3 linked regions of the Xenopus tropicalis genome follow. The protein of the gene in region 3 interacts with the protein of the main gene of each other region in a biochemical or structural test. Links are inferred from orthologs where the notes say so. Each region holds a gene or a part of one and is shown on either strand. Other genes may lie near its edges. The genes, in order: dcaf7, lin52 and dyrk1a.

The links.
Region 1: the proteins of dyrk1a (region 3) and dcaf7 form a complex in vitro, tested with the Homo sapiens proteins (2 studies listed by BioGRID). The link is inferred for Xenopus tropicalis from reciprocal best matches to the Homo sapiens genes DYRK1A and DCAF7.
Region 2: of the proteins of dyrk1a (region 3) and lin52, one has a biochemical effect on the other in vitro, tested with the Homo sapiens proteins (3 studies listed by BioGRID). The link is inferred for Xenopus tropicalis from reciprocal best matches to the Homo sapiens genes DYRK1A and LIN52.

The regions. Positions count from the first base shown.
Region 1 is NC_030686.2:16,430,264-16,439,958, forward strand, and holds the end of dcaf7 (DDB1- and CUL4-associated factor 7), read right to left. Parts: intron 7,507-9,695; coding exon 7,348-7,506; intron 7,213-7,347; coding exon 7,101-7,212; intron 6,336-7,100; coding exon 6,217-6,335; intron 4,599-6,216; coding exon 4,389-4,598; intron 4,171-4,388; coding exon 4,053-4,170; intron 3,622-4,052; coding exon 3,449-3,621; 3' UTR 2,932-3,448; downstream 1-2,931. UniProt on the Homo sapiens protein: Involved in craniofacial development. Acts upstream of the EDN1 pathway and is required for formation of the upper jaw equivalent, the palatoquadrate. The activity required for EDN1 pathway function differs between the first and second arches.
Region 2 is NC_030684.2:81,969,775-81,980,686, forward strand, and holds the start of lin52 (protein lin-52 homolog), read left to right. Parts: upstream 1-828; 5' UTR 829-843; coding exon 844-862; intron 863-4,056; coding exon 4,057-4,131; intron 4,132-4,683; coding exon 4,684-4,721; intron 4,722-6,489; coding exon 6,490-6,556; intron 6,557-10,912. Other genes in the region: aldh6a1 (methylmalonate-semialdehyde dehydrogenase [acylating], mitochondrial), read right to left, coding at 324-350.
Region 3 is NC_030678.2:12,493,789-12,504,700, forward strand, and holds the end of dyrk1a (dual specificity tyrosine-phosphorylation-regulated kinase 1A), read right to left. Parts: coding exon 10,793-10,912; intron 10,717-10,792; coding exon 10,570-10,716; intron 8,901-10,569; coding exon 8,760-8,900; intron 7,826-8,759; coding exon 7,519-7,825; intron 5,920-7,518; coding exon 5,795-5,919; intron 2,849-5,794; coding exon 2,240-2,848; 3' UTR 51-2,239; downstream 1-50. UniProt on the Homo sapiens protein: Dual-specificity kinase which possesses both serine/threonine and tyrosine kinase activities. Exhibits a substrate preference for proline at position P+1 and arginine at position P-3.

The sequences.
Region 1 (9,695 bases), on a different chromosome or scaffold from region 3:
ATATTTCTTCTCCTGCGTGGAAGGCGCAATAGTTAGAAAGATAAAAATAGCACTGGGCCCCACAGCTGGGATCAAAAGTCAGAGAGTATCCATATTTTGAGATGCTTTAGCTACTGCTGAACTACATGTCCCCACCCATATGCCAAAGTGTGCGCAGGGGGAGGTGCCTCTTCTACCTTCCAGATATGCAAGCAGGGCAAGCCAGCAGCCACTTTCCTCCTTTATTCACCATTTCTACTTGTCTCATAGAAATATTAGGAGCTTAAAGGAACAGTAACACCAAAAAATGAAAGTGTATACAAATAATTAATATATTTTGTACTATTGCCCTGCACTGGTAAAAGTTGTGTGTTTACTTCATAAACACTACTACAGTTTATATAATAAGCTGCTGTGTAGCCATGGGGGCAGCCATTTAAATTGAAAAAAGGAGAAAAGGCACAGGTTACTAAGCAGATAACAGATAAGTAGCATAGATTCCCATTGTATTCTACACAGTTTATCTGTTATCTTCTTATGTACCCTGTGCCTTTTCTCCTTTTTTTAATTTAAATGGCTGCCCCCAGGGCTACACAACAGCTATTTCTATTAACTACAGTAGACTTTCTGAAGCAAAAACACAACTTTTACCAGTGCAGGGCAACAGCACATTATATTTTAATTATTTTAAAACATTTTTATTTTTTAGTGTTACTGTTCCTTTAATATATAACTAACTGCCTGTTCTTTTGTTTGCCCTAGCATCCTGCTGTTTCAGCCGTGCAAAAGGTCCCACTGTCTTTCAGCAAGAGATGATTCTAGCTGTCCTTACATGTACAATGAAGCTATATTCCTCTGCAGGTCTGCCATCACTATTCATGGTGTCCCATATAGCGCTCATGTCCCCCAAGGCAGCCTCAATTATTAGCCCACCAGTGAGCTGGTAGAAAGGGTGCCCCCCCCCCCCCCAACAGTCACCCCCCTGATTTGCTCCACTACATCATATTATACCAATACTCCATCCAAACTCTGCCCCTTGCACACCCAACAGATCATGTCTTTTTGGGCCCCTCTACTGCTCCCTGATGGCGGCCCTATTCCTCACACATTGTTTGGACCAGTACAGTGTATATAGTTACATAGGGTTGAAAAAAAGACCACAGTCCATCAATCTCAACTCTACCAAGTAAACCCAGCACACACAACCTATACTGACCTATCTATACACTCACATACACAAACTATATATACCAATATCAATACTAGCTGTAGATATTAGTATCACAATAATCATGTCCCCTCGCAAGAGCCTTTTTTTTTTTTTTTTTTTTTTCAGAGAAAACAACCCCAACCTCGACAGTCTCACCTCATAGCTTAAATCTTCCATCCCCTTAACCAGTTTAGTTGCAGTCTCTGCACTCTCTCCAGCTCATTAATATCCTTCTTAAGGACTGGAGCCCAAAACTGCACTGCATACTCAAGGTGAGGCCTTACCAGGGACCTATAAAGGGGCAAAATTATGTTTTTATCTCTTGAGTCAATGCCCTTTTTTATACAAGACAGCACTTTATTTGCTTTAGTAGCCACAGAATGACACTGCCTGGAATTAGACAACTTGTTATCTACAAAACCCGCAGATTCTTCTCCATTAAGGATCCCCCCAACACACTACCATTTACATACATACATACATATAATGGCCCCATAAAATGATACCATTAAATTCATTTTCCAGCCTGCTCCAGATCCGAAGAAACTTGCATAAACATTTATATTGCTTTAAGCCTTAGATGTTCATATAGAAGCAATATGTGGGTTCTGGCAAATGCCAGAGGGGCTGCTGTAAGATGCCATAGACGGTCACTATTTATTGGGCTGGTGGGGCTGTTTGGGTCTCTGTGTACTTGAAATTCCAGGGCCTATTCTGAATCCCAGTCCAGGCCTGCATGCAGAGAAAGCACAACTAGTCCCAGGCATCTGTCTAGCAAAATGCACAACAGCACAGGGTCAAAACTGTCCCACGGTGCCACCTAGTGACAACCTGGGGCATTAATATTAAATGAGGAAATTGTACCATGGGAGTAGCTTCACTGTACTACATATCTATTGGATAGCAAATATCACTACAAAATCACTTTGCTCCAGTGGGTTTGGGCTTTATGACTCCTAAACCAACATAATTGAAGTAGAGTAAGGTCCTTTCAGAAGGCACAAGGGATCCACTATGTTTAAGAAAAAGGAGGTTCCATCCTAAAACTCCAAAAAGGGTTTGCTACAGTGAAAGATGTGAAGTTGTGGAATCCTCTCCTTAAGGATACATCTGATAGGGATGGGTGGCCTTTTAACAATGGGTAAAACACAGAGACACTGAAATGAACTTCGTACAAAGTTAATCCAGGGACTGGTCTGATTGCCCCTTGGAGTCCGTCAGAAATCTATTAAATAAGAGATGGCTTTGGATGTTTTTTCACCTTTCTCTAAATCATGCAGCTTTTACCGGGACACAGAGTTGAACTTGTTGTATGTATGTATGTATGTATGTATGTATGTATGTATGTATGTATGTAAGCAATGCCAAAGTCACTACTGATATATCACTGGAAATGTAAAGTTAAACGGTTCTGGCCCTATTTTAACTGCGTTCAACATTGGTGCTTTGGAACATAAAAAGAGCACTCTAGTAAACTCATACCTGCAGACCCTAAATGCCTATGAGTTAGCCAATTGTGATTAATCAGTCTAAGTACTAATCAAGCTAACCATAAACTGGAAGCCTCACAAGCCCAAGGAGGAGTACAGATTTCAAATCTAGTCTGTGAATTAAGAGGAGTAAAAATAAAAAGCCAACAACTGCACAAAGGGCACTGAAAAACATGGCCAGCCGTGCACAATAAGGGTTAATATTTCTACAGCTAAAAGGAAATATGTTAAATCATTGCTGCCAATCAAATGTAGGGAACCTGATACTCCTTTAATATCAGACAATATATAGAAACAGCATGTCAGCACTACAAATACACACATATATGAGGATAGTATACACAGGTAATATTACAGTACAATAGTTACCATCCCACCCACAACCCGGCCCCCCTCCCATCCCCCAACAACTGAAATACACTCGGGGCAAAGTACAGGGAACTGACTAAGGAAGGGAACCCCTTTTCTTGGGTTGTCAATTATAAACCAGGGCCCGATTTACTAAGCAGCACTAATTCCTTCATGTAAAAGAGTTGAATCACATACTGTAAAAACAGGCAGAGGACTCTGTTTATCTGGATGGACAATAATGTTTAGTAGTTACAGCCAATAAGGTACTGGAGGATAATGAGGATCTTCTGGCTTACATCACAGACAGGAAGGTGAGCCAATAAGTTCAGATGTATAAAAACCGGAGGCCTTGAGGAGCAGAAGATCCTGTAGGAAAGGGGTAGGAAGAGTGGGCTAGAAGGGTAGGGAATAAATACAGTTACACTCGCAGGATCTCCAGGCAGTTGTTGTAACAAATGGCAATCCAGTCAGGCTGGGTGCTTGCCCACTGCACATTGTTGATTTCTCCCTCTGCTGTGTATGCCAATATGGGATCCTCAATCGCTCTTGGCATCTGCTGAATATCCCAGATTAGGGCCTGGTGATCATCCGCTGCAAAGGGAACAAGGCCCATTAGTGTTAGTTAGGGTGCCACTGGGGTCTGTCACATGACTGGATATCACATAAGTAACAGGACACCAGTCACTTTAACTCTACAGCTAATTTATAACTATTACTGGCACATAAAATAACAATAATCAAACTCACATTGGGGACACCTGGGACAATATATTGGTGGCCAGGGCACTTTTAAATTCAGGGCTGGATTTATAATTTGTGCCACACTAAGCCACTAAGCCAGAGACTGGCAGTAATAACAATTAGTGGCCATATATTGTCTCTCCTTAAGCTTTGCCCTCTAGGGTCCTGGTTTTGCACAATTCCAGGCCTGTGTGTGCACTGCAAAGTGCTATAGGGCAACATTATATACCCCTACCAACACTTGGGTAATATATGCAGTAAAGCCTAAGCAAGATGCTCACCTGCAGTACAGATGTGGCAAGATGAATGGGGTGCCCATGCAATGCCATTGACACAAGCACGGTGGTTGTTAAGTCTGGCTACTGGGGTACAGGGTACTCGTACATCCAAGATTACCACCTAAAAAAAAAAAAAAAAAAGAATAAAAATATGATATGCATTTGTAAGAACAGAAAATGCCCTCTGGGCATACCCCACCCTGTACTGCTCCTTTACACCTTTATGTAATACAATGGCACACACCAGATTGACTGTACGTATCACCAGGCTGCTGGTCAAATATAACGATGCAGCAGCTCTCTGTGCCAATCTGTGTTTAACAGAATCATTAATATTACCTCCATTCCATCCATGGCCATGGTTGCCAGATAGTTCGGATCCTGCTTGTTCCAACACAGTCGAAGTAATGGATGATGTTGGGGGTCTTCATAGATGATTGTACTGTGCTCCAGGTGGCGCAAGTCAAACATTCGCACAGAGCCATCTGCCCCCACAGAGGCAAACATGTCTCTGCCCCCTCCTGCACGGCTGAATGCAATGTCATAGACCTGTCACACACAGGGGAGGGGAAAGAAAATACTTTTATATTCATATGGGTTAAAAAAACCTAACTCATTCATACTGCACTGGGTTCAGTTGGAAGGGTTGAACTTGACGGACTTTGGATTTTTTCAACCCTGTGTAACTATAACTGCACAACCTGCAGGACCCATCACCGTGTACACTGGAAAACAATGACAAGACATTTAGGACTTCCTCTGAACCTTTCCTAGTTTAATTTATTAATGCCCCATCTTTTGCTGCCTGAATAATGCTCTAATGTAATTTATTCCCATCTCCAATTGGTGCTGTAAAAATGACACCACTTGGGTGTGTCCAAGATGGCGACCAAACCAGATGCATAAAGTGAGAGCTCTGTGTATCGATTGATCTCTTTGGCAGTTCTCTTCACTCCACACTCCATTTACTACTCACTCACAGTTTGCCAGCAACCACTGGAATGCAGTACTAAAAGCCAACATGGGCAAACATTTTCCATGTATGAGATCAGAGGCTACGCCCTCACTCACCCAGCCAGGTTCCCGCTGGACAAAAGCTTCTGCCAGACATTAACGCCAGAACCACCAGGCCCCCCTCCCAACCAAGAGCCTAGCGAGCCCACAATGGGGGACTTATTGGAAGCTATAAAAGAAACTAGAGCAGCCACTACCTCACAAATAGAAGGGATTAAGATCAACTTGTCCCTCCTGCGCCCGGACCTCTAATACATGAGAGGCCGCACTGCTGCTGTGGAAACTCAGGTCTCCCGAGGATACAATTAACCCCATACACAACACCATGCCATCAGTAACAGCAAATCTAAGCACTAATGGACAAAACAAAGACCTGGAGAATAGACTTAGGATGAGCAAGATCAGAATAGTGGGGCTCCCGAAAGGGTGGAGGGACAGCAGCCAGAGGCATTTATTTGCAAATGGCTATAGGATGTAGTGGAAGCAGATACATTCTCCTCACTATTCGTGGTGAAAAGAGCCCATCAAGTTCCTCCCAGGCCACCCCCACCGGGAGCACCACCAAGACCACCATTCCGACTCAAACTGCTCAACTTTAGGGAACGGGTCGCAGCTCTGAGCGTAGCAAGGCTCAAAGGCCCGATTCTATACAATGGCATCACAATCTCCATATATCTGGACTTTTCTCCTGCTATACAAGATGGCGACACCACACATTTTTTTTAAATTCTCCGGCAGAGGCAGATGAAGGAGAAGGAGGTGCCACCACCTCCCGCTGAGAGAAAGGCACTAACCATCCAACAACCCCCCTTGGGAATAGGGAGCACGGTAAAGGCCTGAATAACACGTCTCTGTGCTTGCCCTTACAGATACCCCAAGAGCAATGGGTTGGGCCTAGACCTGTACAAGGTCTTCAAACCGATTACTACTCTCTGAACAAATCTAAAGGCTCTAGCAACCCAGACCCGTTAAGTCAGGTGTCTCTTTACCCACAACTGCAATCCCCCCGCAGCCACAATATGGGCATGCAGCACAAAGCAACCCAGCAAACTATAGAGAGCCTCAGAGAAGTGTGACTGGAACTCACTCATGGGATAGTCTGTACATACCTTCCCATATCACATTTCCTACCGATAAACCAAAGGCTTCTCACCTCTTTGTCATGGGCAATGAGCTGCGTTTTCACATGTCCAGACACCAGATTAACCCTGCCAAGGACCTGTCCAGTCTCCAAACCCCAGATTGTGCATGTTGTATCAATACTTGAGGTTCCTGAAGGTTAAAGAAAATAATGTTATTCTGCAGTCCAATGAACATTCCTATACCCACAATACAAACAATAGAAAGTCCTAGCACAAGAGGGAAATGGCCGATATATGATGGTCTGATTTGTTCCAGACAGGGACAGTATATTGTTATCAAGCTGGTTTATATGTCCACTTGAACACTGCATGTAGTTAATATCGGCTTGCTAGGGAGGCAATTGAAGCGTGTATTAGGGGTTAGGTGAAGACTAAAGAGAGTGTTCTAAAAAGTAAGAGGTATAGAGTAACTGCACTGAATTGGTTTATATATCCACCTAAAAGAGAGTACAATGCATGTACATAAATGTGTTTGCTCGAAAGGCAAATGAAAACTAAAGATAACCATATGGACCAGAGGACAGATTTTAGCTGCTCATTCAGCCCAAGTCAGCAGCTTATCACCTGTTTATTTTAGGGCCCTCCAATGGGCCTACCAAACCAATATCTGGATGAAATCTGGGGTTTAAAAATCCCATCCCAATGGCCTGTATCCCCATTTTTATGATCTGATCGTTTGGCCCTAGGATCAGTCTGAAATCGCCCACCTGGAGGTGGGCATATTAAGTAAGGTCAGCTTAAAGAAGTTATAGAGTTACTGTATCAAGTTGGTTTATAAGCTCAGAGGCTTGCTCTCAGTGTTAGTTTGGGTGATGTTTTATGAAAATGCATTAAATAACCTTGGATCTACAAGGAACAGAGAACTGTGAAAAAGCAGGCCTTGCTTGTTCCTTACCCAGCAGGTTGGGGTCTACTTCATTCCAATCAAATGAGGTGAGGGGGGCACAGAAATCAGAGTTCTTGTTGTTGTTTAGCAAACACTCCAGACGGGTCTCCGTCTCTCCAACCTTTGATAAAGAGAGAAACAGAATAAGCAACATGACACTTATCAACACTCTAATCTCAAGCGCTAATACTCTGTTGGGTGCCATTATCAATCATTATTCATATTTTGGGCTTGTAGTCGCTGCCTTCGTACTTACCCTCCAGACACGGAGGTAATCCCCGCTGGTGGCTAACAGATCTGGATATACTCCTTTAGTGTCGGGGATCCACATAAGCTTTGTTGTAGGATACGGGTGATCAAATGTGTTTCGGCAAATGAATTCAGAGCTCTCTTCATCCAGTCCTACTAGCTGTACCTAAAAAAAGAAAAAAAAAAAAGAAAGAAAAATCAATTCCTGAATGAAAGATTGGTTAATACAGTGAAATGGTACAAATTAAACCACTCACGTGCAGGACCTGAGCCACTCCTACTTCCTAGCATTACCATTCATACAGCAAACATTTCTGTACAGATATCACCTAAATTTGTGGGATCACCAAACTAGTGGGCTTTTGCTTGATGTGGCCACTCACATGCTTGGCTAAATTGGATTTATTTGATCGTTTGGCCAAACAATTGGACCTGTGGCAACCCATCGGGAGAGGGCCTTATCAACATAACTACACAGCCCTCGCATGACTTCACTTCCTAAAGTGATACTAACAGCAGCAAAAACGCCAAACCTGGAAGCTAGAGATATAAAAATGTTTTAAAACCTCAACAAAACATAAAATGAAGAGTTATCGCCACTTGTCTAAGAATGCAGCTGTCTTAACCATACCCTAAGTTGATAATTAGGTGAAATACACTTAATTTGCGTATTATAAAAGGCTTGGTGTTTATTAACTATGCAATATCCCCCCCCCCCCCCCCCCTACAATACAAAGGAGATAATTTATGTATATGGTATTAAGCTCCTAAAGTCACGGCTGCCAGCAGGGTGGGTACAAAGGTTATTGACCCAGGGGCCCAAGAGATTTGATTGTACAATTCGGGGGGTCAGAGCTTGTGGGTGAGAAGGTGGGTTGGTTGAATTGTGGGTGGGTTTACAGTATTAAGGTGGGACGCAACTGGAGCTGAATCTGGAATGTGCCAATAATCAGGGTGTGTTCATGTTTCCAGGGGCCCCATTTTACTTCTACCTGGAGGGGGGAGGTCCCTGCTATTTAAGGTGGCCACACACGTGACCCGCCACTAAAGGTGGCCATACACGTGGCGATCTGACGATGTTTCGTACGACCATCGGTCGCACGAAACATCGTAAGATCCGCCACACACCATTCAGGGCTGAATCGGCAGGTAAGGAGGTAGAAACAATAGGATTTCTACCTCCTTCTGCCGATTCAGCTCTGAAAGGAGAATTTTGGTCAGGCGCCTTCTATGGCGCCCGATCAAAATTTTCAAACTGGTCCGATCGGCGAGTCGTCCGATATCAGCAGCTTCCTGCGATATCGGTCGACTCGCCGACATGCCATACATGCACCGATTATCGTACGAAACGAGGTTTCGTACGATAATATCGGTGCGTGTATGGCCACCTTAACCGTTCAGGGCTGAAAAGGCAGATAAGGAGGTAGAAACAATAGGATTTCTACCTCCTTCTGCCGATTCAGCCCTGACGTCAGATTTTGCTCAGGCGCCTTCTATGGTGCCCGATCAAAATCTTTTGACCTGGCCGATCGGCGAGTCGACCGATATCAGGAGCCTCCTGCGATACCGGTCGACTCGCCGACTTGCCATACACACACCGAATATCGTACGAAACGAGGTTTCATACAATATTATCGGTGCGTGTATGGCCAGCTTTAGAGGTATGGGGCTCAGGGATTCCTCATTGCAGCCCTGTCTGAAGACAAATGCAGTTTATACAAGCGGAAGCTAACACTGGGCATACACTGATACAAACTACCAACACAGCCCCACCAGACCAAGTCTCGTGTATGGGCCCCACCAACACCTGGCATCTATTTGCCAAACATTTAGTCAGTCATCTATTGGGCACTCCAGAAAAAAAACCATCAGAAGGGGAGCACATTGGATAGATCTACATTTTCATAATCTAATCTTTGTTCCAGGGGCCACAGCGGCAGAGGTTGTCAGACATTTTTAGACCACTGCCCCCCTCCTTCACCAGAAATAATTTATCCCTAAGTCCTGATGTGATTGGCCTTTAAAACTTCATCTCTCAATTGGATTTGGGCCCCAGTTTAAAATCCTACTCTAAAGCAAAACACACAGTCTGTACATGAGTCAGGTCACTGTACACTTACATAGCAATGTATTTATAAGCAGATTGTGTGAGGGTTTTTAAATGACCCTTTAATAGATCTAAATGACAGTTTACTGCTGTAATCTTTATATAATATATATATTATATATATATATATATATATATATATATATATATATACATACACACACACACCAAGCAGATTGAATTCATGTTATATGTGTATCATCTGGATACAACCCACACAGCTGTAACACAGAACTATCCACATTCAC
Region 2 (10,912 bases), on a different chromosome or scaffold from region 3:
TCCAAGACTTTTGGCAAGGCCTGGGCTGGGCATACCAATACACGAACTATGAAGGCCTCTAGAGAAAGGGCAGTGACCCATCCTCTCCGGTGCAAAATTCTAATGCAGGGGCCCAATTTACTACCCCCAACACTGAGTCACTACCGACCATCAGTCTCTTAATCCCAGCCTCCTTTATCCGCGCATATCAACGTAGCCCTGCTTGTAAAATAGCACCTTCATAATATAGTTTCATTCGTCTATTGGGAACACCCATTTATTTTGGGTACCTGGGGATATTCTCTCCCCCACTCACTCATGTCAATGTACTAGCCCACACTCACCCTCACTATTCCTCTGATCCGCATCATGCTTCCTTCAGAATCCCTGAGCTTCTCAGAGACTGAATGACAAGAAGCCACACCTCTACCCCGCCATTGGCTGATGATGCCACGGCCCCTTAAAAAGTGTTTCCTATTGGCCTGCCAGAAATAGTGACCGATTGTGCGCTAACTCAAGGTTTGACCGACTGGTGCCCTACTATGTGTGCCTTGATTGGCTCATATTTGTCACGTGATGACTCTTGGATCTTCACCGCTATTTGCCATTTTTACGATCGACAAAATGTGTAGGAACATGACGCCTTCTTGGTGTCTGGAAAGTGATGTAGCAAAAAGGCAGTGCATCGCACCATGCCTTAATGGTTAAAACATTATTGTACAAGTTAACTTTAGTCTTTAAAAAATAGACGTTTGTGTAAGCTATGGGTGGGTGCAGCAATATGGCGCTTAAGTATAGAGCGTCAAATTGGGTGTACCAAGATGGAATGTTTAAGTCTATTTCTGTCACGTGACAAGTGAGAAAATGGCGGCAGTTACGGATGGTAAGCGGTTGTTTTTAATTTGTAGGTACACTAATGGGCTTAGAGGAAAGTATTCTACATATATGTATCCGATAATTGCTTCTAGCAGCAGGGTAAAGCCGATGTGTGTTCCCGCTGCGCATGGTTACTCTGTCGAGAAAGTACTGGGAGTTTATCATTAAACCTTGAAAATAACAGTGAATGCATTGCGATGTTCTGTGCTGCTCTGGTGATCCCTAGCCATGTCAATAATTAGCCGCAGACAATGAACTGATCCTTCTTTTACTTTTCACATGTAATAAGGCTTCCTATTGACATCAGGTGGAAAGTGTACAAGCCTTCGGCTTCGTCTAGTTTGTAGGAAGGTGTACTTGCACAATTTGGGATGTTGCCAATGTACAGACATTAACCTAAATACTACTACTCATAGACGAATGTAGCATAGTGCACATGCGTAAAGCTGTTAGATCCTAGTGTGGATATAGCTCAGTGATCAAGCTACTAAAGGCAATTAAAGAAAAGAGTGCTTTATTTTAGCTAAACATTATCATAATCACAAACCTAATGTCCCAAAATTATATACGAGATATTCACGCTCATGAAAAAAGTATTATACAGTCTAGCCTAATCCTAATGACCCAAAGTATACTACGTAAACCCAAACTCTTCCTATCAACATACATGTAAAAAATTTGTGTAAAAGCTTTGTGAGTTGAACCCAGAACCCTAACACAGAAGGGCAAGAATTCCGACCACTTTACCACAATGCTACTTGGTTACTCTAGTGTGTGAAAATGTATTCTTGTGAATACACCTTGCCAACAAGAAAAGTTAAAATCTAGCTTGTTTTGTATGAATAGCCTAGATCCTTTTGGTGTAATGTCCTTTTGGTGTAATGCCCAAACAGCCCCCACCTGGCTAATAAATGTCTGGCATCTAACAGCAGCCCATCTGGCATTCCCCTGGATCCACAGATAGCCAGTCTATACCTACAGGTGGGAGTGACTTGAAAATGGTAACAGAAAAAAAGATACAGTAAGAGCAGAAGAAGTAAAACCTTGCAGAAATAAACTCTCCTGCATACAGGTTTAGGAAGAGTGAGGTACTTTATAACAGAACCCTACCAAAATAAGATTTTTTTTATCTTTTAAAAGAATAGCAAGAGTATATGTCCTCTTTATTTTACTTCGTTTGAGCAAAGGTCTATACTGTTTTTGTTACCTCAAATCTATGTGCTGAGATCTTTGTGGGGTATGAGTGAGAGTTTACTTGCAATAGTTAATGGATAACGCTCAATTTAACTTGTTTTTTTCCCTTTGAACGCATTCACAGCTATAGTTTACAAGGGGAATTATACCAGTTTTAACCTGTTGTGTGGCTTTTACGTATTTTTTTTCTCAAATTATACTCTGCAAGTAGTAAGCATGGTTTGCAAGCATGATACCTTCTTAAAACACAATGCTAGCAAAATTCACTGGGGTTGCCAAGTTGTCAGCCACCCCCCATGATTGTAATCATCAACAAGAGAAGTTGTTCACATTGTGCACAGTACAAAACTCACTGAACAATTACTGGACTCTGCTTACCCAGGGCAATAGAGGAGCTTTGGAAAGAGCAGGGAAAAATGGTTATGGCACACTCTGCAGAAAAAATGCAAGCTTTGGGTCTCTGCTCTGTAAATATAATCATGGGGGGATGACTAACAAATTGGAGCCTGCCAATGATTTTAGCTTTTATCATCCTTTAATGAGTGAAATTCATAGAGATTTTCATTTGTACTAATGGATTTGTTCATATGACCCAAACACTTTATTTACTTAGCTGTTAGTACATGCTTTTACATATCACACTGGATGGTTTGTAGCCTAGATCCAACTTTTAAATGGAAAAGAGCTCTGTTTAAAGATGCACTTAATCACAGGCAAGTCTAAAGACTGGAATTCTCCACATTCTGAATTACATCAAATTGACTTTGGTTGCAGCTAAAAGAGTTATATTTAAATAGTGGATTGAGTCCTCCCCTCCCTCATTCACTGACATTTAAGCAGAACTAAATCTTTGTAAAAATGAAACTATTCATTTCAGATTCGATAGCTTGAAAACACCATTTAAAATTTACATCAAAATGGAAAATATTTGCAAAGCTTGGAAAATAAGGAAAGAGATAAGATACATGACATCCTTTATCATTAAAATGGATTCCTACTATACGTAATCCTAGCCATGAAAATAATACTTGGCACAAATTTTTTCTTGAACTCTAGTAACTTTAATATATTAAATATTATTACAATTAGTTTTATGTAAGATTGTAATTGTTTACTTTTCAATGCTTACCTTTTATGATCTCTCTATTTTGAATGAGATTCCACGTTCACCTGTATGTTTTCTTGAATACTAATACAATGATTAAAACAAAAAAATGAACTTTACACTTTTTTCAACACAAGCAAGATAAATAGAATGTATGTATAATATAGTATACTTATGTATTATTATTTAGTTTTTACTTTATCTACCTATTTTAACCGCTATCAACTGAGTTTAAATAGGGCCAATAAGCTTTGTATAAACAAACACCATACTATTTATTGATCTGATTTTGAGCTAGAGGTGACACTGCCCCTTTAAAACCAGTGGGAAGTAAGTAGCTAAGGTCACAAAGTCACAAGATTTCACTTAGTTGACTATTCAAAAATAGTTTTGGCATTTAAAGGAACAGTAACACCAAAAAATGAAAGTGTTTTAAAGTAATTGAAATATAACATACTGTGGCCCTGCACTGGTAAAACTGGGGTGTTTGCTTCAGGAACACTACTATAGTTTATATAAATAAGCTGCTGTGTAGCCATGGGGGCAGCCATTGAAGCTGGAAAAAAGGAGAAAAGGCACAGGGTACATAGCAGATAACAGATAAGACACCATTGTATTCTACAGGGTTTATCTGTTAGCTGCTATATAACCTGTGCCTTTTCTTCTTTTGAATGGCTGCCCCCATGGCTACACACCAGGGTTTATATAAACTCTAGTAGTGTTTCTGAAGCAAACACAAAACTTTTACCAGTCCAGTACATTATAGTTTAATTTCTTTAAAATATATATATTTTTTGGTGTTACTGTTCCTTTAAGCTGTTAATCAGCAAACGTTTTCAAAATGTTTATTCACTTGTTTATGAGTGTACCTAACTACTGAAATTGAATGTTGTGCGGTTTAGATGCAGATCTGGAGACCTCACTACTGAGCTTTGAGAAACTGGATCGAGCATCACCAGACTTGTGGCCTGAGCAGCGTAAGTGATCTCTACTTTGTTCCTTCTACCTTATATAAATCAATTTCAATTTACAAAAAGATTTTCTGAGCAGGTACTCTTATGCCCAGCTATGCTTCCATCATATGGACTGTGAGAAGGGCATTAAGTGCTATTGTACCTATTTGCATGTCTTGAAAAACTCCAAGACTCATGACTCATGCACTGGCAACTAGTACAGTTTCCTAACCTATGAGAAACTCTTGTATCTCACAATTGCAGTTTCATTCTTGATGAATATACTGCACTTGCAGAATTTATTACTGTGTGGATTGTAGCACTGGGATTGAAATACCAAATTATTTCAGTTTCAAAAATAAAATCAATATTCTCACTCACTTTATGTTAGAGGCTGCAGTTCCTAGTGACAGGTAGATTCCATTTAACCAAATGACGGGCTGCACAGGCACATCAACAGCTGGTAAATATGGGGGGAAGAATACACCCTATGTGTAATAGACAGGATAATAGACAATAATAGGCTGAACTTTCATCTTTGCCAGCTATGTAACTTGTTCTCCTCGTTTCTTACAGTCCCAGGAGTTGCAGAGTTTGCTGCTTCTTTTAAAAGTGTATGTATAACTTAATTCCTCTATTAGCTTATATACAGTATGGCTTTGTTTTACAATGTATCTTGAAATATGTGAAATATTGTTGGTGTTACTACTTTTTATTATATAATTTTTCATTGCATCTGCCCTCTGTTTTTTTTCTGCTTTTCCAAAGAAGCCAATGTTAGTTTTTTTAAAGAAGCCCTTTTAGTTAACTTAATATTGACTTTTACTTTCTGTGCATGATTTTTGTACAAAACGTAGCACTAAGATAGAGAAATAAAGAGAATTGTTTTAAAATGCAAAATTAATTTAGGGACTGGTCCATTGAGTCAAACAGGAGGCAGCAAGCATCAACCAAATAACTTTAGTAAGAATGTTAAAATAATGGGCAGAGGCATGCATAAAGATGGCAAAAACCCTAATACAAAACTTCGCCACCTAAAAGCAGTCGGGGCAGAAGTCAGTGGGAGCTCTCCTAGGCAAACTGTAACAATCTTTATTTAATTCATGTTTTTAATAGTTTTGCTGTTTTTTCTGTTTCCGAGGATTCTAGTATTCTTATTCAAATTTTTTTGTGGTTTTTCATTTGTGTTTTTTATATTAGGCTTTTTTATAAAGGACTTGGCATTAGTGGTTTTAGTGAAAATGAGGTGTTTTTTTTTGTGGTTTCAAAAATCCTTTGAGTGTTTTTTTCAAATAATGGGCTATTTTGTTATTTATTTTCTATAAAGAGCAATTGACTCCATGGCATTTTTCAGTAGGTAGCATGATTTCCAGCATGAAACGTGCGCTAAAACACAAGGAGAACAGGGTGTACCAGGGGCAAAAAGTAAATGTGTGGTTGGAGAGTACAATAAATTAAAAAAAAAATAAAAATAATGCATGTGATACTATTGCTGATAAAAACAACTTAACAGACAAGTTTTGGAAAACTTCAGGTATGCCTAGGGAAGAAACACCTGAATCCAGGGTCGGACTACATGTGCCTTCACCCGAGCGTATGCCCGTGTGACATTAGCCTTAGGCTTCTGTTTGAAACCATTTAACAGTTCCTCTGGTCTGCTAATGTGTTTCTTATTTTTCTTTAATTAATCATAAACTCCTGTGTAGTGAACACCAAGTAAGTTATTTAGTTTTATAGAAACATTACTAAGACATAGTGTGGTAGGTATTTTGTTAAATGTGATATAAAAAACAATATAACATATGTTCAGTAGTGCTAATATACTCACAGCCTAAAAGCCATCAAAATAGAGCAATGTTAGGGGGCCATTTACTAATGGTTTGATTTTTTTTTTCCCAACTGTTTTTAGTGCTAAAAGTCGCAGAAAAAAAGCCGTGACTGTTTTTGAGATTTACTATGCGACAAAACGGTTACAAATCCAACAATGGCAGATATCTCCTCCCTTCCCTGGAAACTCCTTTATTTTGCATTTTTGCCGCTGTTTTTTTGCGTGACAATCTGAAAAAGTCAAAATGTTTTGGTGCAACAATTTGAAAAAGTCGCAGTTTCTCAACTTTTCTGCAACTTTCCCACCCGTATTTCTTCTGTTCAGACTCTTTGGTAAATGTCAGACGTTCGTGGAAATTAGTTTATTCGAATTTCTAAAAAGTAAATAATGTAAGTTAAGTTTAGTTAATTTGCCTAAAGTGAAGTATTAGTAACTGCATACTGTAAGAGTAAAAGAAGGTGTATGTAAAGCATCAATTGCATAGAAAATAAGATTTTGGAGGATTTTTCCAACATAATATCTAAAGTTTCTATCATCCCATTGTTGTTTATTAGCCAATCAAAAGCACACCTCGTAAATGGATGGCAGAACTTGAGAATGATGACATAGATATGCTGAAAGGTAAGGATGGAAAACTGCACCTTTTTTCCCTTTACAGTAATATTTCTCAAGTGCTCTATATGTTCAAAGATCCATAACAAATCGGTTATGCTTGGACAGGGTTGAAGGGGGGCTGAAATGGAAATTAAACCTACTCTGTGTAGTTCCTGCAAGGTAGATAATTAGATTAACACAGCACAGATAATCCCCTTGCATAATAGACTTGTGTTTATCTGTGTACTGGTAATTTAGTTATCTACCTTACAAGGACTAAACATGGAGAAGATTCAATTTCCCTTTTAGCTCAAGAAATAACAAAAAATATACTTTTTGTTTAATTAAACAAAAAACTATGTTCAACATAAGCCAGATTCGTTGCTATCATGTTGAAAAGGGTGCATGCTGCTCTTTTTAAAAGAGCTGAAATTTTGTTCCAGGGCAGTTTTTTGTCTCCCCTGATAGTGTTACCTGATGGAAGTTTTATATCTTGCTTCATGGCAGAAGTGTACCTGGTGTATAGGGCTTTTGACTTAAATAAGGGACTAAAATTTATGGAGATGCTTAGTTAAAAATGTATTGCAGTTAAGTTATTTACAGGCCATTAGTCTCTGTAACCTATTCTGACAACTTTTAGATAAGGGCCAAGTTTGATTCATCGGTCTGTAACAGAACCACAACAATGTTAATTTGCTGTAGACCAGACATTAACATTTAGGATTTGGTATTTTACATCCTGAAGCTTCTCTAACATATAGTAGTTATGACGACTGACAAATAATATTTGTAATGTTTCAGTGTATTTTGGCTTTATCCCTACCTCTTCCCAAACTGGCCAGTACAAGCTTTGATTGATTAATATAATTCTTTAGCTGTCTTCTAGGCAGGTGACCCATTAATTTACTAACTGTGTATATGTGTAGATATGTACGATCTTCATTGCTTTCTTTGGTTGTACTCCCTCATACTGCAGTTTCCCTTATCTGCTTTGTTTTCCTGTATGTCTGCACTTTTGCTTCCTTTATTTTTGGTTGACTAGCGATCTGCATTATATACATTTCCCTGATCATTGATATTGTTGTTATCCATATTGTTACATTGCACAAGCTGTGTTTATTTCTGTTCTATCACCTTTTACTATTTTGAAACTTTTTCCTTTATGTTCTTTCTACCAGTACCAGCACAGTTCATGTACATTGGTTACCGATACTTTTTTTGGCGCCCTTTTTGTTGTGGTGGGGTATTTATGGGGGGTGAGGTTTGCACTGTCTTTTGGTTTGTCCCTGAGGAAGAGCACAGTTGGTGCTCGAAACGTTGGATCGTTTTCATTAAAAAAAATTTTGTTTTCTAACAAAGTCCCTGCGTGTGCGGCTCATTGTCTTGCTATATACATGGTTTTGGCAAGCACCTGGGGCATTTGATTACTATTAGGGTGTGCTCTGTTCTTTTCTGTGTATATATATATATATATATATATATATATAGCCGCACACACACACATATCTGCTACTTTTTGCTATTGTGTAAATCCTGTGAGTGCCGTCACTTGTTGCATTTGTATTTTATTGATTTGCACTGGCACCCGGGTCGCAACCCCTATTGTATGGTGTGCTGCCTATATCTGGACTTATAATATAGATATCAGTTAGTTTGATAGAAAACTGCGCAATGTAATTTTCCTGCTGGTACTCTCCTTAAAGGAGAAAGAAAGGCAAAGTCACTTGCCAAAATGTTAGGCACCCCCAAGTGACTTAAATCGCCTACCTTTTAGGCGCCCCTGTTTGGAGAGAACAGCACCAGCCCGGGTAGCTGCGATCGCTTCCTCCTTCCTGGTTCCGTGCGTGCGCATGCGCAGTAGAGTGAAAAGCCGAACTTTAACAGAAAAGTCGGCTTTTCACTCTACTGCGCATTTGCCCACTGCTTCCATTTTAGGAAAAGGAACCAGGAAGGAGGAAGCGCTCCGCTACAGGTACCCCGGGCAGGTGCTGTTTTCTCCGAACAGGGGCACCAGCCCGGGGTACAAGGTAAGCGGTTAAAGTCACTTGAGGGTGCCTAATATTTTGGCACCCCTAAGTGACTTTTCCTTCTCCTTTAAAGGATAAGGTGGTCTTGAATCGGCGTTTCACCTGTAAGCTACCTTTTAGTATGTGTACAGAATGTCCGATTCCTAGCAACTTTGCAATTGGTCTTTATAAATATATAGTTTATGAAATATATGCCTTCCTCTTTTGCCTCTTTTTAGTTTTCAAATGGGGGCTCTCTGACACTGGCAGCCAAAAATTATTGCTCTTTGAGGTTACAGTTTTATTGATTATCTCATATTTGGACCCTTATGTATTCATATTCCAGTCTCTCCTTCAAATAACTGTTTGGTTTCTAAGGCAAATAAGACCCTAGCAACCAGCTGCCAATATGCCAAACTGAAGAGCTGCTGAACAAAAATCTAAATAACTGTAAAATCACTAAAAATAAAAGATGAAGACCAGTTGCAAATTGTCTCAAATATCAAGGTCTACATCATACTAAAAGTTAGTGTAACCCCTATTTGCTGTGAACAGGCCAAAGCACGGCTAGTATAGGTTTAGAGCATGGGGTACATGCGTCTCAATCCTTCAGGATGGGCCTTCGCTAAATGGAAATGACCAGTGGAGCTAGGGTGTAGTGCAGGGGTGGGCAAACTTTTTGGCTCACGGGCCACATTTACTTACCCCCGGGCCAGACCGGGCCAGGGAAGGCAGGGCCAGGCCAGCGTTACGCCCCCTTAGTCTGTTTAATTCCGGCCCGCCAATGACACCAAGTCTCGCGTGATGAGACTTGGCATCGTCGGTGGGCCGGATTAAAAAGGCCAAGGGGCCGGACGTGGCCCGTGGGCCGTAGTTTACCCACCCCTGGTGTAGTGCAACTACAACTCACTATAGCTGTGTGCAGTGCAAATTAGCAAAGATGGACGCCAGAAGATTCTTGCAGTTGAAACAATAGAACTTGTTTTTTTGTCAGAGACAATCAATGCGCAGGGTTAAGCAATATACTCTCCTACAGATGTTATATGATAGTAGTACTCTAAGGACAGCAAAGAGAGGATGTACACCGGTTTATCCCACCTCCTTTAGAGTCTGGGCTGGGTAAATGCACCTGGTCAGCTTGAGTCCTACAGCCGACTGTGGATCAGGGTTTAGATACTGCCTGTCTCCTATGTCTTAATCGTGGCCCTATGCTGAGGCAACATTGCCAGTATGGAAGGGTACTTCCAGCTACTTTCCTTGGTGGAGCCGAAACGGCTCTTGCTTCCTTCCCTCTATATCTCACTTTCCTAGAGAGTGCTCGACGAGAGTAACTATCTAACTGGTCCTCATTCATGTGGTCCCTGTCCCCGACTTCACTAGAGTAGGTGATGACTCTAGGGTAAAGTATGGCTTTACAGGGACCTTGTTGATCCCAGGCTCAGTGGACCTTCACCTGAGACACAAAGGCAGCCAAAGAGGAAGACCCACCCCTTTGCTACACACCATATTGGAGTGCAAAGGGTGGAGTCAACCTGTACACCAATAAGGCACAAGTGCAAAGGATAAACTAAATACATAGGTTTTTGCCCAGTAACAGCATAAACTAAGGAAGTTTTAGGGTTTAAAGCCATAGGGGCATATTAACCTTATGGGTCCAAAAGTGGACTGCCCCATTAAATTCTTTATATGTAGACAATAGTATTCTAAGCAGGGCCATATTTACCACTGGGAAGCCCACCTTTATGGTAAATTGAAAAGAATCACCTAAAATGTTCCCCCAGCTCACTGCCAGATACTTGCTGATAAATCCAGTGCTTGATGGGTGGATGTGTTTCTCCTGCGATTGGCACGTACTCCCATGACACATCCACCAATCTTAGGAGAAGGGAGCAGGCTAAGGGCCGGTGCCTAGGGCAGCCCTGTTTTTTAAGAGATACTATAATTGAGCTTCATTTTTAATTTTTTTTAGCGTTTTATATTTTGTGTTCTGTAGCTGCAAGTGGAAATTTCAACTGCTGATTTCTAGCAACCCTAGTGGTTGAAAGGCAGACTAGAATATGAATAGGTGGGACCTCTAACGAAAATTAAGAAATACAAATGAATAATAATACATTTGTAGACTGCAGAGAATCAGTTTCTCCAAATGCACGGCCAAGCCGATTCCAAATCCTTTTAAATCACATGTTTACGAAATTTGCAGGGGGTTTTTGTTTTCATGCACAGATTTTTGCCCCCTGGATTAAACCTATTTGCATATGCATATTAGGATTCGGTTCAGTATTCGTTAAATTCCTTCACAAGGATGGTTTTTTTTTTTTTTGACTGTTTGACTGCATTTTATTGTTATTTGTATTTTTCTTCTTATTTTTATTTTCAC
Region 3 (10,912 bases):
AACATAAAATGTTTTAAAGGATAAGTTAACAGAAAAAAAATAAGAGCCAATTAGCGTTCCAATATTTAATTCCATGGACAATGCAATATTACAAGATGTATAGGATCATCGCTAGACTCCTGCAACTATTCCCTCCCGTATTTCTCTCTCAGAGTAAAGAAGCATTTAGGTATTAAAAAATAAATATTTTATTATATATATATATATTTTTTTTTATTTTTTTTTTGTAGGGCATAGCGGGTACTGATATTTAGCCAGCGCTAAACGTGTTCTTGGACTAAGGCAGCGGAACTGAAAATTAGGCATCAGTAGCAATAGCCTTCGTTATCTTCAGATTTACCTTGGGTACCACTTCCCTTCCGGACCTGTGTGTGTCGGAACAAGGGGCGGGGCAAGGGGCGGGGCTGGCTGAGAGCTTTAGGGTTTCGGTGGTGGAAACCGGAACACATATCTACGAGCCACTCTGTAACATGACAGCGTAATAGATCCGGCACGGACATTTCGGTATATGTTGAACTAGAGCACAGCGACAGTTCCAGTTTTGTTGAAGCAATAGTACAGCCAGAATTTTTGTAAAAAACAAAAACAAAACAAACAAAAAAACTGTCCCATTACACCTTGTGCCAAAAAGTGCAGAACTGCTACATTATTGGTTACAGACATCTATGTGCTATAAAAACAGCTTTGGTACAATAAATTATCAAAAAAAAAAAAAAAAAGGAAAATAATTTTTTTTTTGTAAAATTCACAGCATAATTGTGAGGCAAAAAAATAAGCAGTCACATAAAATTCTGCATCTTTTTTCTTTTAAAAATGTTCAAAAGGAACAGAAGACATGTTTGTGCAGAATAGTGGAGATACCACGTGCGGAGAAACGGAGGGGGGGGGGAGCTGAAAATAAAAATAAAAGATATGGGGGGGGGGGGAGAGAAAAGCAAATGAAAGAAATGAAGGGGGCTGAAATAAAAAAATAAAGGATGGGACACAGGTGTAGCTATTTCCATCCAACGCAAACCACTACTACTGTGACCTTTAGCCAATAAGGAAGTCAGCTTTATGACACACACGCAAAGTGACCGGGCAAAAACTCTACAATTAGTGGGTCACACCAGTCTATGTGAAAAGAAAGGCCTCTTGAATGAACCCCATTCTGGATTTTCAGTATGAAGGACCGTCTACGAAAAGCGCGTCCCAAAGTGATTGCATCTGAAATGGCAGGCTCTTCGAACTCAAGAGTCCAAATCCATAAGGCCAAAGGTTATCCCAAAGACCGCCGACTCAGACCTCCCCAAGGAGCGGCCATGTCTGGCCTGTTGATTGCTTCTCAGTGCACCTTAAGATCGAGCTGTCTCCCACAAAAAAACAAACAAAAATAAAACGATAAGATCCATTTTTAACGGCTGCTTTGTTTCCCAGATTCAGGACAGGAGATTCTGATGACCGCCATCTTAGCACGTTGACTGCCATCTTAGCACGTTGACCGCCATCTTAGCACGTTGACCGCCATCTTAGCAAGTTGACTGTGTGTGACACCCGTCCCTTTGACTATGGTTTGTGTGTTTAGGAGGTCGAAGGTTCCTCTCTCTTACAGTACTGCATATCTGTGCCCAAGTTTCGATGGACCATTAAGCCCCCCCGAGGGGACCCAAAGAGGTGCATTTTTTTGTTTGTTTTTGATAATGTTGCTTTTTATCATGTTGGCAACTGACTATGTTCAGTATAACTTACTATGGTTAAAATATATAAATATATATGTATATACAAATACATATATATATCATTTTATAAAATTATTATGATACGAGTGTACAGAGTTTAATGGGTGGGGAAGGGTGGGGCGGGGGTTGGGAAGCAAAAGGGAGAGGAAATTACCTCGGAGCTATCCAATAAGGTGTGTTTGGAAACAGCTCGTTAAAAAAATAAAAATCGTTTCACTTCATTGTCCCTTTGCAATCGTTTTGTTTTTGTTTTTTTTTTTCAAGTTTAAAAAAATAGTCAGCTTTTCCCTGTTGTAGCGGTTTAAGTGTGTTTATCTCCTTCTGATTAAAGCAGCTTTTGCACTTTTTTTTTTGTTTTTGCTTTTGTTTTTTTTTTTTTTTTAGTTTTTTTTTCTTGGAAAAAAAAAAACTTCTAAAAACAAATAAAACAAAAGGAAAAATAAAAAAAAATAAAAAAAAAGAGAGAAAACAAACCCACACACAAAAAAAAAAAAAACCAAACAAACCTAGATTGAATTTAGTCACGAGCTTGCCACAGGACTCTGCTGAACACAAACTCCTGTCATGGGAGAGTCTTCTCGGTCCATCCCTTGCCTCATCGTTAAGTGTCCTTCCGTTACGTAGTGGCCGGGGCCTGTATTTGCAGAATATTGGTAATCTGGATGTCCAGTGATGCCAGTCTCTTGGCGAGGGTTTGAAAAGGCAGTTAAATTAACATCCATAGTTCCATTCTGTCCAAAGTCCAAGGTGTTAGCAGCCACAGGACGATTCTGGTAGGCCTGATTGCCTTGGTTGCCAGTAGAAGAGGAAGATGTTGAGGAAGAAGTAGTTGAGGAAGACAAGGATGTCATGGAGTGGTGGCTGTGACCGACATCCATAGAATCCTGGGTGGAGGAGCTAGTTGATGGAGAATTGTAGATCCTGGTCCTCGTCCTGTTACTCAAGACATGCTGTCCGTGGTGGTGATGATGGTGGTGGTGATGGTGGTGGGAGCCATTCCCATGGTGATGCGGTACATTTTGCTGGGAAGGGGGGACATGAAATGTTGTTTCTTGGACAGGGTGTGTTTCAATGGTGACCTGCGTAGGGGCTTCAGGGACGGTCCAACCAGGAGGAAACTGTTGTCGAACCTAAGGAAGGGAAAAAAAGGTTAAAACACAGATAAATGCACATATACAGCTCCCTACACAGCACAGGAAATAAAGTCATTGTTTTTTTTTCTTGGTTTTATTTTTAAACACTACCTAAGCCTTGGAAATAATGATCTGTATAATATAAAACCTTAAGATTTCCCCCAGTGGTTGGCTGTCTCCTGGGTCTACAGAGAGGAAGTTCATAATAAAGGGTGATTGGCTGGGAAGGCCAAATGGGATCAATGTCAAATGAAAGTGCTTTCAGTGTCTCTGTTCTGTACTGTTTAGTGCTACAAATAACATAAATATTATTATATAAAACTAGAGGGAGAAGAAAACAAGTCCTGCAATAACCCTTCTTTTTGGGCTCTTGTTGAAGATAAAGACTGTTTAGGAAACCATGGTTCTACATCTGCACTTACACAGGTACCTGAGCTTCTTCGGGTCAGTGCCAGAACAGGTCATGCAGTAACTGGAATGGTGACTAAAGCACCGAATATAAAGACACAAAACCCCCAGGGCTGCCATGCAACCACCCCAAAAAGCACCCATTGTTAGTGGCCCTGAGCAAGGATTTGATAAACAGCAATCACACACTTACCAGTGGACTGGCCCATTATCCCTCTGCAGGGACAGTCAATATCTACTAAATCTGAAGTTTTAAATACATGAAAACAACTATGGCTAGTGAGCTTCCCATGTAATTGACCCTGTAGCCCAGCATAATGCTCTGGTTATGACCAACACTAAAGTGCCAAAGGCTGGGGCACAATCATTCTGTCGTTAATGGAGAGGACATTACTAGTGTCATTTTTTTCCACGTGCGGAAATTTTTTGCAACGTGGTCGAAAATTTTTTGTAGAGCACAGAATTTTTACGCAGTGAATTTTGTCGCCTGTTTTGCAAAATAATCCTCCAATGGCGAAACATGGAAATTCACTGCAAATCCATGCCTGACGAATTTCGCCCGTCACTAGACTTAGTACCTAGATGTCAATCCGGTTTGTAAATGCCCTCTGTGCTTTCTAATTTACAATAAAATATATTGGAAATATATATAAAGCTTAAGGGCAGGGGTACACGGGGAGATTAGTTGCCCCATGACAAATCTTTGTTGTCGTGGGCAACTAATCTCCCTGCCATGCCATCTCACCGGCTAGAATGTAAATCGCCCGTGGGGTGGCATACTCGTTGCTACGATGTCTCGCAGTCGCCCATAGTTGCCTTGAGAGGAAACTTCGGCCGACTGCTGGACATTGCAGCAACGCGTATGCCATCCCACCAGCGATTTACATTCTAGCCGGTGATGTATGTATTCTGGGACTGTCCCAAAATATAATGCTTTTTGGACTGAGATACTTGGGACTATGGACTCTTCTCTAGGCCTATTGAACATACAGACCCCCACACTCTGCTTACTGGGCCATACAGAGAGGATAACGCTGAATTCCAGTGACAGACTTTGCCTCCTACAGCTTCTGCACTATGCTAAAAAAGCCATTCTGATGAGCTGGGAAGCAGCGGAGACCCCAACACAGTCCTACAAGCAGCTTGTAAATGTCTCTCCAGCCAGAAGCTTACAAACATAGCCTCAGACTGGCCAGGAAAATCAGGAAAATTTGTGACAAATGGCTGGCAGAGATGTGAGAAGTATCAGTAACTGGGTGTAGTGTAGGAAAGCCCTGGTTATTCGTATCTCTTTCTTCTTCTCTTTTAATTCTCACTTTAAACTCTCTCTTGCGTTCTTCTTGTTATGTGTTGTGTAAACTTAAAACTCAATAAAGAAAAACTTATGGAAAAAAAATTATATATATATATATTTATATAGCACTGCAAGTATTGGCACTCACCAGTCCAAAGGCAATAGCCGGGTGCTAACCCAAGAGATGCATCCACTGTATACAGAAAGCACTCACGGCCTTAATGTCCAAAAAATTGAAATTTTATTTCAACATGCTATCTACGCGTTTCAATCCACAGAAGATCGTCATCCTGATGATGATCCTCTGTGGATTGAAATATGTAGATAGCATGTTGAAATAAAATTTCTTCATTTTTTTGGACATTAAGGCCGTGAGTGCTTTCTGTATACAGTGGATATATATCTATATATATATCCAAAAAAGACCAGCAACACAGAGTTATAGTGCTGGGCGGTATGACCAAAAATTTATATCACGGTATTTTTTTTATTATATCGGTATCACGGTATTTGACGGTATTTTTTTTTCCCCATGCATGATTAGGTGACCACCCCAAACACCCCCCCCAACCCCAAACACCCCCCCCCAACCCCAAACACCCCCCCAACCCCAAACAACCCCCCCAACCCCAAACACCCCCCCCAACCCCAAACACCCCCCCCCCAAACCCCAAACACCCCCCCATCCCCTTCACATAAATATAACTTACTGACCAGGCAGCCGCAGGCACCCCCGACAGCTCACAGAGCCTCCTGACAATTTTTCTTACTATTTCCGGGTTGCGCGCGTGACGTCAGCGCGCACAACCCGGAAATAGTAAGAAAAATTGCCAGGAGGCGCCCACACCGGTATGCCGGTAAGTTAAAAATTTTTATCATTTTTTTTTTTAAAAAAATGGTGTTCGGTATATACCGGTATACCGCCCAGCACTACAGAGTTATATTCCAAAAAGATCAATCGTGTATTAAAAACACATGTTTATACATCACATCGACGTTTCGGTCCTGGTGTGGGACCTTAATCAAGATGTTACACACAATAAAATACACATATAAGTGTAACATCTTGATTAAGGTCCCAGACCAGGACCGAAACGTCGATGTGAGAGATATCTAATACAACTATATGCAGCACCCAACCATGTCGGTGTCAGGACCGAAACTGAATTAGAGTGACTGTCAGTTTTCCTGATATTCTGACAATAAAATAAAGTGCAATAAAACAGGCATTCTGAGGGTACCTGAGGACTGTGCGTCTCACAATCCATAGCCTGAACAGCAGCTGTGAAATGGCCACCACTGTGTCGATGTTGATGAGTAGGGTCAGACCTTGCTCTTCCACTGTTGCTTGTACCAGACGAGCCACCTGATACATAAATATATGTGTGATAGAAATATAAATCAAGACGTCAAAAACGTAGAAAGCAAATCATCACTGGGTTATTATAAAGTCACCTATCTGTACTAATGCAACCTGCAACAATAGTTGCCATCTGTCTAAGCTATACACACTTTTTGTATTTCATAAAATTCCCTACTCCTAGCAACTTTGCAATTAGTCTTTATTATTATTATTTTTTTATTATTATTTGCCTTCCTCTTCTGCAACTTTTAAGCTTTCAAATGGGGGAGGGGGGTTCACAGACCCCTGCAGCTAAAAACTAATTCTCTGTGCACTTACAATTTTATCATTATTGTTACTTTTTATTCCTTATCTTTATATTCTGGCCCTCTCCTATTCATATTCCAGTCTCTCATTCAAACCATGGCCTGGTTGCCAAGGTAAAGAAGACCCTAGCAACCAGACAGCTGCTAAATAACTGAAAAACCACAAAAAAAAAAATTTTTAAAAACCAATTGCAAATTCTCTCAGAATATCAATGTCTATGTAATAGTAAATATAAAGTCGAACAATCCCTTTAAGGCCTGTGTCAAATGCAAGCTAAAACTTGTGCACGGTGGCCGTCAATCAACCCATGAATGATGAGTGTACTTACGCCTGCATTTACTACTTGTCCTGAAGGGCGGCTATGAAGGCATAAGGGCAGGTTAATAGGCCCTGGCATTTCAAGTACACAGAGGCCCAAACAGCCCCCCAGCCCAATAAATAGTGACTGTCTGTGGCACCTTACAGCCCCCCTGGCATTCCCAGTACCCAGAGGCACAAACAGCCCCCCAGCCCAATAAATAGTGACTGTCTGTGGCACCTTACAGCCCCCCTGGCATTCCCAGTACCCAGAGGCACAAACAGCCCCCCAGCCCAATAAATAGTGACTGTCTGTGGCACCTTACAGCCCCCCTGGCATTCCCAGTACCCAGAGGCACAAACAGCCCCCCCAGCCCAATAAATAGTGACTGTCTGTGGCACCTTACAGCCCCCTGGCATTCCCAGTACCCAGAGGCACAAACAGCCCCCCCAGCCCAATAAATAGTGACTGTCTGTGACACCTTACAGCCCCCCTGGCATTCCCAGTACCCAGAGGCACAAACAGCCCCCCCAGCCCAATAAATAGTGACTGTCTGTGACACCTTACAGCAGCCCCTCTGGCATTCCCAGTACCCAGAGGCACAAACAGCCCCCCCAGCCCAATAAATAGTGACTGTCTGTGGCACCTTACAGCCCCCCTGGCATTCCCAGTACCCAGAGGCACAAACAGCCCCCCCAGCCCAATAAATAGTGACTGTCTGTGGCACCTTACAGCAGCCCCTCTGGCATTTGCCTGAACCCACAGATTGCCAGTCCGGATCTCATGTGAATCATGAAACCTCACTGTAAAACATTAGTTCTATATAAATACAAGACAAAGCCTTTAGATTTATAGAGACTTTGTGGAAGGAAATAACAGCATTTAGCAACACAAATTAAACCATACTAAATGAGCGTTAGTAACCTTAAGAATGCACAGTAAGGAGTTTCCTGAGGTGTGGGTGCTACATTTGGGTGCTAGAGAACAAATCCTCATACCCGAGCTAGAAGATGTGCTAGAGGTGGTTCCTGATGACTGGGACTGCTCCATTGCTGGACTCGTTGATACACTGTTACTCGTGTTTGTACCTTCGTCAGCAGTTTTCTTAAAGAAACTATGTTGCAGAGCATAATAGGGTTGGATACGGGTCTTGGCATCATAATCCAACATCCTTAAAATGAGGTCTTTAAACTTCAAGTAGTCCGCTACAGTATGACCTGATTCCCCGCCTCGGCGGCCACCTGGTCCTCCAGTTTCTACTCCAAGTAGGTTGTGAAGTTTTCGGGTTCCCGGTGGTTTGTACTCCTAGAGTAATAACACAGACTCCCGTTAACAACTTGCTGGCACTGGATATACAGGCACAACAGTATTTGTCTATAAACAAAATAAACAAGCAAATAACTATGGGTTGGTTTAAAAATGGTGGTGCAATGTGATAGGGACCTTAGACTGTAAGCTCCTCTGGGGCAGGGACAGATGGGAATGTGATAGGGACCTTAGATTGTAAGCTCCACTGGGGCAGGGACTGATGGGAATGTGATAGGGACCTTAGATTGTAAGCTCCACTGGGGCAGGGACTGATGGGAATGTGATAGGGACCTTAGATTGTAAGCTCCACTGGGGCAGGGACTGATAGGAATGTGATAGGGACCTTAGATTGTAAGCTCCACTGGGGCAGGGACTGATGGGAATGTGATAGGGACCTTAGATTGTAAGCTCCACTGGGGCAGGGACTGATAGGAATGTGATAGGGACCTTAGATTGTAAGCTCACTGGGGCAGGGACTGATGGGAATGTGATAGGGGCCTTAGATTGTAAGCTCACTGGGGCAGGGACTGATGGGAATGTGATAGGGGCCTTAGATTGTAAGCTCACTGGGGCAGGGACTGATGGGAATGTGATAGGGGCCTTAGATTGTAAGCTCACTGGGGCAGGGACTGATGGGAATGTGATAGGAACCTTAGATTGTAAGCTCACTGGGGCAGGGACTGATGGGAATGTGATAGGGACCTTAGCTTGTAAGTTCCACTGGGGCAGGGACTGATGGGAACTGAGTGCTAAGCTGTATACATATAATACAACCCAGTGTATCTAGTGACAGTTTTATACATGTATATTGACTATACAGAAAGAGCAGGGACTGCACTGTATAACCAAATGTGCCTTTTGGGCTTAAACCTCATTAGAAACATGCAAAGCCGTTGATTCCTTTTCCATTCCATAGAATTTAGCAAATTACCTTTTTTCCATCTTTGGTCTTCTTTAAGTTCCAAGTGCCTTCTGGCATCTTCTCAAAGAACTTTCTAGCTTTTGGTGCTTGGTCAAGGATGTGAGCAGGTGGTATTCCTAAAACTTCCACAATTTTACTCATTTGATCAACCTACCAAGCGACAAAAGCAAAGTCAGTCGAGGCAGAACCCACACATGATGAAGTGACCCATTACAATTATGGGGCACCATAAAACAAATATGCCATCATCAAGTTATTTATATTGGGTATCCCATATATGTGACTGTCTGTGGGAAGACCCGAATAGGGCACAGAATTGCAAACTGTGGGGAGGACTAAACTTGGGAGGCAGTAGCCTTATAGGTGGCCATAAAGGCCCAGATTTAGTGGGGACTATTCTAAGCATACTGTAAGCATCTAAACTCATTTGGCTTTTAAAGGAAAACTAAAGCTTAAATAAAGAAGGAAATATTGTACATTATGTTTGGGGGGTTGTGTACCAGCCCCAGGCCCCCACAGCCCTTTAGCAGGGAAGATCTTTGCTCCTTAAGATTGCCCCAGTAGCCCCCCATCTCCTTTTCTGCCGATTCCCTGCCCATACTCTGTGCTGCTGGCACTTACCTGAGCTTAGGGGCCCACTCACTATATACTGTATATATAGAATATAAATGTCACAGTATAACCTGAGCTTAGGGGCCCACTCACTATATACTGTATATATACACTATAAATGTCACAGTATAACCTGAGCTTAGGGGCCCACTCACTATATACTGTATATATAGAATATAAATGTCACAGTATAACCTGAGCTTAGGGGCCCACTCACTATATACTGTATATATACACTATAAATGTCACAGTATAACCTGAGCTTAGGGGCCCACTCACTATATACTGTATATATACAATATAAATGTCACAGTATAACCTGAGCTTAGGGGCCCACTCACTATATACTGTATATATACAATATAAATGTCACAGTATAACCTGAGCTTAGGGACCCACTCACTATATACTGTATATATAGAATATAAATGTCACAGTATAACCTGAGCTTAGGGGCCCACTCACTATATACTGTATATATAGAATATAAATATCACAGTATAACCTGAGCTTAGGGGCCCACTCACTATATACTGTATATACCAAGTATAAATGTCACAATATAAGGCTGATTAGTAATTAATACAGATAATTACTACATGGCAGCTCAGAAACCAGTGCAGCTAGCGTGAGAATGTAATAATCACTGCTGAGCCACTGAGTTTTTCCCCTGCTGGTTGGTACTAAATCAGCCGCTCTAGAGCCAAAATTCGGATTTCCTGAATTGAAATTTCAGCTCTTCTGGTGCAGAGAGTGCTATTGTGCTGTCTGCACTAGCAACGCGGCCCCCTCCAGCGCAAAAAAACTAAATTCAGAGTGGCAAGGTGGGGGGCATTCCCTAGGCCACCTCAGGGAAGTAAGTAATATGTAGCACACCACCTATGGGTGGGCGATATCGGGGGAATTTAGGCTAATTCAATCGTTTGGCCCTGGGGCCAGCTCAATGCCGGACTCTGGGCGCTCCACCCCAACCCTGGATCGTGGGCAAAAGTAAATGGAACGTGACACAGCACACAGGGGTGGGGGGTGCACGCAGTGGGTGGGTATAGGCATGCAGACTTTGCAACTGGGTGAGGGGCCAGTGAGGTGGCAGCCCTTGTCTCAGACACCCCATTCCATAAGTGAGCATGACAGCATAAAAGTGATCTACCAATTTAAATCCATGGCGCATTACAAAAGGAAAATAAAAGTGTTGCTACTGCCTTACCTCATTGGCTCCACTGAAGAGGGGCTCCCCAGTGTGCATTTCTACCAAAATGCAGCCAAGGGACCACATGTCAATTGCAAGGTCATAAGGCATTCCTAGTAAAACCTCAGGAGACCGGTAGAAGCGACTCTGAATATACTGGTATATCTAGGGACAAGAAACAAGGTATAAGCCGATTGGCTTCCGTGGCCTCGGTTTCGTGGGAACAAGAGCCAATCCTTACCCTCTGCCCTAGCTGGCACGAGCTTCCAAAGTCCACAATCTTAATGGCGCTTCGTTTTGGGTTACAAAGCAAGATATTCTCAGGCTTCAGGTCACAGTGAATGATACTAAGTTCTGGAGT